Linked DNA regions of Cricetulus griseus. The main gene of each other region encodes a partner of the protein of the gene in region 2 in a complex. Links are inferred from orthologs where the notes say so. Each region holds a gene or a part of one and is shown on either strand. Other genes may lie near its edges.

Region 1 (3,686 bases), on a different chromosome or scaffold from region 2:
CAGAACCCAGGGCTTTGTGCATGCTAGGCCAACACTCTGCCAACTGGGCTGTCTTCCCAGGCTGCAGGTGGGCTTTTCTTTCCCGCCATCTGGTTCCCAAATAACCACACGGAGACTTATTAATTGTAAATGTTTGGCCAATAGCTAGACTTGTTACTATTACAATTTAAATTAACCTATTTCCATTAATCTATGTGCTGTCCTGAGGCTTGTTTACCTCATGTATGTATTTCCCTTCCTGCTTGCTCATGGCATCTCCTTAGCCTCTGCCCTCCTTCCCAGCGTCCTCCTAGTCTGGCTGTCCTGCCCAGCAATAAGGTCAGTCAGCTCTTTTATTAACCCATGAGAATAATACATATTTACAGTGTACAAAGATTGTCCCACAGCAGCCCCATGAAGTTTTTAGAGTCCCAGAACAGAGGAAAGTACTAATTCAAGGCATTTATTGATTATATTTGTGAGGTTATCAGGCCAGGCAGATTTTACAGCAAAGCAAAGCTGGGAGGTCACTGCTATAGATATTTTTTTGTTTTTGTTTTTTGAGGCAGGGCTTCACTGTAGCTTTGGAGCCTGTCCTGGAGCTTGCTCTGTAGATCAGGCTGCTGCTATAAGCTATCTGATGACATGCTTAGCTTTACGTTGGTGAAAGCTAGCAGCAAGTTAATACTTTCCAAAGGTTTTACCTGAGGTTAAATGGGATACAGAAGGTGAGTGCTAAGTGGCTAAAAGACTAAGGGGCTAAAAATAGCCCAAAATGATCTTAGCCCTGTATCTGCAACATTCCAACTCTTTGAAATCACAGCATTCTAATCTGTTAGCCCTGTACACTCCCACGTGGGATAAAGAGCTAGAATTCAAGGCTAGCTTGGGCTATACAGTGAGAATTTGTCTCAAAACAAACCAAAAACAGGTAGAACCCAAATTAACTTTCTATGCTTAGTGTGAAGAGGGAGAAATTTGGCTTTTATTTTCCAATTCCTTAATTCAGTTTTCTTAGAGGAGGCCTAATTGTGACATTTATGCATACGTGCTACTTCACTTAAAAAATATTAAATAGGATTTCTCTTTATATTTTCTTTCTTTCTTCCTTCCTTCTTTTCTTCTTCCTTCCTTCCTTCCTTCCTTCCTTCCTTCCTTCCTTCCTTCCTCCTCCTCCTCTTCCTCCTGTTTTGTTTTTTGAGACAGGGCTTCTCTGTGTAGCCCTGGCTGTCCTGGAACTCTCTCTGCAGACCAAGCTGGCCTTGAACTCAGAGAGATCCACCTGCCTCTGCCTCTCAAGTGCTAGAGATTTGTTTGGCAGATCTTTGCCTTTGTCTAGATGTTTACCCAAATGTTAAACATGGAGGCTGGAGAGATTGCTCAGTGGTTAGGTAAACTGCACTTGCAAAGGACTGAGACTCAGTTCCCAGCACCCACATGGCAGCTCAGATCCATCTGTAACTTCTGTTCAGAGAGTAGCCTTGGTTGGTTTGAAAGAAAATGGCCCCCAAAGGGAATGGTGTAAGGATTTGAATCTCTTTATTCAAGAAGACACCAGGGCAAAACACAGGCCAGAGCTAGGTTATAGAACCCAGCAAGCACGGCCAGAACAAAAGGGGCCAAGGTCCCCACGTGCAGCTCCTTAAGAAGCTCCCTTACGTCACCCCGGCTTTCCTTCACCACGCCCTTATGGGCGAGTCCCGGGTCCACCTGGTACCTGTCCCAGGACTATTGGGCAGGGCTAGGGTGTCTCCCTACAGAATGGCACTATTAGGAGGTGTGGCCTTGTTAGAGTAGGAATGGTCTTGTTGGAGGAAGTGTTTCACTGCAGAGGCAGGCTTTGAGGGTTCATATATGCTCAAGTCATGCCCAGGGAGACAGTCCACTTCCTGTTGCCTTCTGATCATGATATAGCCAGCACCATGTCTGTCTGTATGCCACCATGCTTCCTGCCATGATGATAATGGAATAAACTTCTGAACTGTAAGCCACCACCTCAATTAAATGTTTTCCTTTATAAGAAATTGCCGAGGTCATGGTGTCCCCCTCCCCCCTTTTGGTTTTTCTAGGCAGGGTTTCTCTGTGGCTTTGGAGGCTGCCCTGGAAATACCTGTTGTAGATCAGGCTGGTCTCGAACTCACAGAGATCCACCTGCCACTGCCTCCCAAGTGCTGGAATTAAAGGCATGGGCCACCTACGCCCAGCCATAGTGTCTCTTAACAGCAATAGAGATCCTTTTGTGATCTTTTTGTGATCTTTTTGTGATCTCTGTGGGCACCAGGCATGCATGTGATACATATGCATATCACATGTTGGCAAAATACACATAAAATAAAATGAATGAATCTAACCCCCTCCCAAGAAACCCCTCAATGTTGAGAATCAAGCTCCATGTGAGACATTCTTCAATCTGACACCCACCAGTGATTCAACAATGACACTTATGGTTGAAATTGTTTATCTGGCAACAAATCCTTTCATCAGGGCTTACAGAATCCATTGGTTTTATAGCCATGAGATACTTTGTCAAGAGCACCCTAGAAAACACCCTCAGTGTTTTTGCTATTCCTCTGACCTACTCGGTGGTGACTAAGTTGAGATGTTAGGATGATGCAAATGAGCAGTATTGGCAGTAATGCAAGGAAGAAGACAGCTTATGCTCAGCCACAGGGTCTGCTGGTGTCCCTTGGATGTGGGACCTCAGGCAGTGCAGTCCTGGGTCTACAGCCTCATCCTTGGGCAGGCATCGATGTCTGAGAGAAGCACCTGATGGTTCTTCCCACTCTCTCTGCCTCAAGAGCCCTAGTTTCTAACCCTTTTATGTCTTTGTAGGACGTGGGCTCTCTTGACGAGAAGATGAAGAGCTTGGATGTGAACCAGGACTCGGAGCTGAAGTTCAATGAGTACTGGAGACTGATTGGGGAACTGGCGAAGGAAATCAGGAAGGAGAAAGCCTTGGAAATCCGGAAGAAGTAAAGCCTGCTTGCTGGGATGGGGGCCCAGCACGGCCTGCTGGGCAGGGCCAGGCAGAACTCCACTCCCCCAAATAAAAACTTCCTTCTTGAAACACAGATTTCTATCTGAATTTCTTTTCTTGAGACCAGGGAAAGGGTCTTTATCTGCGGTGAAAAAAATGAAAATTGTAGGCACTTTGAAGGCAAGGACTGTGATTCATCTTCAAATATCCTACAACATCTAGCATTCTACCTACAATGAGGTTTTTTTTTTTTTTGTCCCTCTGGTGTTGAGGACAGAACTCAGGCCCTTGAGCAAATGTGTCATAGCAATAGGTCTTGCGTTAAGTAGGTGCTTAGTTGATCAGTGAAAAATACGGATATTTGAGGCAGGCCGTTCCTGGGGCTCAGCTCCATGGCTCTAGCTCCCAGTTTCCCCCATATAACTCCTGGAGTTTGTTCTTTGGCTGGTAATGATAATAATGAACGCCTGCTAAACATTTTACTCATATACCTCTAATTAACTGTCACAGCAGTTAAGGTTAATTCATTCAATTAGTTTTTGCAGTGTTGAAGATTAACCTAAGATCTTGCACATGTTAGGCAATTGGAAGGAGTCACACCCCCAGCCCTCTTTTAGCTTTTTTCTTTCTTTTTGTGTTGTGCTGTTACTGTTTTAATAATTTGTTTATTTTTATTTTATGTGCATTGGTGTTTTGCCTGCATTTATGTTTGTGTGAGGGTGTCAGATCT
Region 2 (4,247 bases):
TAGCCTACAGAGAGTGCAGCCATCAATAAATGAGTAGTGTTGCATCATTTACAAAGGCAATGGGAGTAATCACAATGGCTGACATTTCTTGGGTGATGACTTCACATTAGACATTCTTCTAGTCTAAATGTTTTGAGGTATTGGCTTCTTTAATCTTTACAGGAACCCAGTGAGGTGTAAGACTTGGTCATCTCTATTCACAGTATGGGGAACTGAAGCCCAGAGAGACGGAGGATCATGACTAAGGAGATGGAACCTAGTAGAGGTCATGGGCTAATGGACTGTGACTGCTTTCTCTCCAACCAAAGACCTTTGGATGACCTTTATAATACAGCCAAGAAAGGAACCCTTCAACAACTGTTCTAGACTCAGGTTACCATTGATCTCTCCCTTCTGGAGAAGAGCAGCATTTAATCTTTCTTTGTTATAGTTATTGACCTAATGTCCTATTATTTTGGTTCCAAGATTTATTTTCTTTCTACTTCATTATCATCATTTTCTTAAAACTAAAAAATTGGATTTTTGTTATGTTTCATCCCTTACCTTCTAAATTGCGGGTTATGGTCTCCAGGTCATCTTCAGCAAAGGCCTGATTGAAGCCCAGCCGTCTCTTCTTCAGAATCTTCCCTGAGTCTGATGATGCTGCCACCATCACTAGGCTCTCCTCAAAGGTGAAGTTGGACACCTTTGAGGTTTCAGAGGTTCTCAGAGATACAAATTTATCTGTGCAATTCTCATGAAGTGAGCCACAGCTTGCATCGTAGAAGGATTTCTGTAAGGAAGGGAAGTGGCACCTGAGCGCTTACCTATGACCTCATGATGAGACTCTTTAGTAGGGTCTGTATCCTACAGACTTAGTGAGACGGATCTCCCTTCTGGGTGTAGGGAACCAACCTGTGCTTCATCCCTCCCTCCCCTCTCATCCTCCACTGCCCTTCCTTCCCTTCTGCTCCATTCCATTCTTGGATTTCCCTGAAACCAAGGCTGGGGTTGAGGGGGGGTCTTTTCACCCACCTTTAGGCTCAAAAAGAAAAAATTTTAATTAAACAGATTAACATGTGATCCTGGTGAGTGAGATCCTTCTGTCAAAAGGTTTGACATCTATTCCAGAGTACTCAAAATATTTTAAAAAATACTTTTGGCCCTCTGTGTTGCCTGCTCAAATTAAACTAACCTTAAGGTTCAAAATATTTTTTAAACCTAAATCACATTTGTACTAAAATGTGAATCTTTTTGTAATTACTTCCTAAATAATATAATCACTGATTCATAAGTATAACAATTGTTTCTATAGCATTCACAGTGTGGCAGGTGTAGTTTTAAGACATCTAGATATGATTTAAAGTTATTTCAGAATACATGTATATTTTATATAAATAGAAGGTCACTTAATATAAAGGACTTGAACATCTGCAGGAGGTGATCTCCCTAGGGGGCCTTGCAGTCAAGGACCCATGGATACCGTTGGTGTGTCTATTTTTCTGGAAGCAGCTTTTAAAACAGGTATCACAGATACACAAAATAACATGCTGAGTGTGTGTGACGTTTTCCCTTTCTCTTAGCCAGCTTCCTCTCCCTCAGTTCTGTGGGCTATCAGAGAATGATGTCAACATAGCATGTTAGGAGAGGTGTCCAGGTGAGGTGGATTGAAGCAACTGGCTAAAGATGCCAAAACTAACAATTTGAAGGAGCCTGGCCCAGAAGTTCTTAGGGCTTCAGATAACCCTTCTTCTCTGTTATGGAAGAGTCAATGAGCATGAAGAATGCCAGTTAACTATTAGTATAGAGAGGCAAGTGATCTCACTAATAATAAATAAATGTATTTTAGACCTTTAACAAAAGTGTATAATACTCAACCTTCATTTTGCATTTCTGGTAGTATGTAAAAAGAAAATCCAAATCTATAAGAATGATAACCATATGCTTACCTGACTCAGAGAGAGATGATCAAGGGCAGAACTGTATTCTTCATTTTCACTGTCAAAAACATATAAGGAGACTGTATTTTTGTTCATCATTCCACTGAGGTCCGTAGGCATCATATCTTAATGACCACATTAGCTTTTGGTAATACAGACAACATTCCTGAATACTGATTTAGACATAGGTACTATTGAGTCTGAATGCTCTAACACAGCACTGGGTTTTAGTGGCTGTTTAAGAGTTACTTCTTTCTTTGGAGAACTCGATCCCAGTCAGGATGAGAGTCAGCCTTACAGTAACTTGGGCACACGAACACACACACACACACACACACACACACACACACACACACACACACACACACTACTCTTTGAAAAGCTAAAGACTTCTGCATATTCATGTCTACACACATAGTAACTCATTTGTCTACTAATTTGGAGTTAGTAATTATTAGAACAGCTTTGCACTTTATCTGTAAAAATTAGGCATGATTAATAAATCAAAGAGCCTTATTGGACTTCAGGAAAGGCTGAAGCTGCTAAAAGAAAAGAGAAACTTTTGAAGTACTTCAGATACACTTTGTCATACATTGTTTTCACATACTAAAACAGATTCTATATTTAACAGTATTCAAGCACTAGTTTGTAGCTTCATTAGCATTAACATTAATTGCAAACAAAAACATCTTGTTAGTTAAGAATGTTCTAGAATTTCAGCTCTGCTCATTTATCTTCTGTATCAGGGTGAAGTTTCACTGTGGGTATGAGTTCATGTGCCCAAGAGCTGTTTCCTCCTCTTGACTGGGAGCAGGTTCTCCCAAGAATGAATTTTCTCTCAAACAGTTCATTAATAGCTGCTGCTGTATAGAGCATACAAACTCTATCAAGTGCCTAAGTTGATGTTAATTTAAGATTATGTAGGAGTCAGTACACCTCAAAAATATTTTTCTAAATTCCCATTTCACTCAGGGAAATACCACTTTAGCATGTTGGAGGTCTTATCCTTCTAGCTCTTCTCTGGTCTTGACTGGACTTCAGAGCCAGTGTATATCTACAGAGCCTCTGACAACATGGCACTTGACTGGCCACTTGAACACCTAGTTGGAGTCATTGAATCACAAAAAGTAGAATGTGTTTCTTACCTGTAACAGTTCTTCAGGTCTTCAAACAAGTCCGGAACTTTGGCCATCTTGACCTCTACAAAAGAACAGTGGTGGTCAGCTCTCCACCTCTGAACCCCGTGCTTGCAAGGGCAGTGACCCTGCTTCGCTCTTCTTGAGAAACTACAATGAGTGGCTGACTTATCACATGCCCAGAATTTCCTCTATTCTTCTTCATACGCCCTTACATTATTTGTATAAGCTTTGTTCTCCTCTCTTAACTTGTACATTTGTTTTAGAATGTTTTCTCTATCTTGGTATTCTTTGTGTCCAGCCCATTCCATCACACATAGTAGGCATTCAATAAAGGTGAATAGGATAAGGAAAAAAAAAAAAAGGAAAACCACCTGCATGAGGTATCTGCCTTCTATAGAGGCGAGGGAGATAGAGAACGGGAACCAGCATATCTCATTTTTGTCAGTAGAAATTTCCTATCTACAGGAAAAGATTAGGCTGAACTGATGGATTCCCTCCCAGGAATCCTGTTCAGCTGCCCCCTCAGGTCCTTATCACTAGAAAGAGAGCTCTTCTCTGAAATCTGTGATTCCAGCTTACACACCAAATCAGGAACAACAAGAGAAAGAAAGAGAACAGACTATAGCCTTACAGAAGGTGCCTTGAGAGAAGACAGTCAAGGAGCAAACAAAAGACAATCTCCATAGCCTCAGATGTGATAAGGACAATACCTTTGCCGACTCAAGCTCCAATGAGGTGACTCCCTCTCTGCCCTGGAGACTTATGCCTGAGTCAGGCTTCTCTGTCTTTTATAATCATCTCAAGTAGGTGGGGCCCCCGCCAGTGTGTCACTGGGAATTTACAGGAAATAATTCTGCTTTGTATCTTTCTATGTTCACGCAGCTTGATACTGGCCGAAATGCAGCTCATACACTTGGTAATGATGTTGTTTGCAAAGATTCCTTGGGCTGTTGACTTGATTCATCTATTTATTGCTTGTTTCATATGATTATAAACATGTAGTCTTACAAAAAAGGGGAAGAGCAGCAGGAAGTTTACCAAGACACCCAGAGCATTTGGTGGAAGAGGAAGGCAGAAATGCTCAAATCAGAGGGCTGGACTGAGTAGGATGGGCGCTCCGGGGGTATACTTTGTGTTTGGCCTAATTTGTTTATTGTGCTCCAGGACTGAATCTGGGCAGGATAATTGG

Evidence for each region.
Region 1: the proteins of Il1a (region 2) and S100a13 are in contact, whole or in part, in an NMR structure (PDB 2L5X), measured with the Homo sapiens proteins. The link is inferred for Cricetulus griseus from reciprocal best matches to the Homo sapiens genes IL1A and S100A13. Residues at the interface, in NP_000566.3 of Homo sapiens: Asn148, Gln150, Tyr151, Thr194, Ala195, Gln196, Asp197, Leu203, Leu204, Lys205, Glu206, Met207, Gly216, Ser217, Glu218, Thr219, Asn220, His239; in NP_001019381.1 of Homo sapiens: Met1, Arg25, Gln26, Glu27, Gly28, Arg29, Lys30, Asp31, Ser34, Asp68, Ser69, Glu70, Lys72, Phe73.

What each region holds. Positions count from the first base shown.
Region 1 is NW_023276806.1:64,027,927-64,031,612, reverse strand, and holds the end of S100a13 (protein S100-A13), read left to right. Parts: intron 1-2,811; coding exon 2,812-2,955; 3' UTR 2,956-3,050; downstream 3,051-3,686. UniProt on the Homo sapiens protein: Plays a role in the export of proteins that lack a signal peptide and are secreted by an alternative pathway. Binds two calcium ions per subunit. Binds one copper ion. Binding of one copper ion does not interfere with calcium binding.
Region 2 is NC_048599.1:49,261,515-49,265,761, reverse strand, and holds the start of Il1a (interleukin-1 alpha), read right to left. Parts: upstream 3,112-4,247; coding exon 3,065-3,111; intron 1,978-3,064; coding exon 1,929-1,977; intron 773-1,928; coding exon 544-772; intron 1-543. UniProt on the Homo sapiens protein: Cytokine constitutively present intracellularly in nearly all resting non-hematopoietic cells that plays an important role in inflammation and bridges the innate and adaptive immune systems.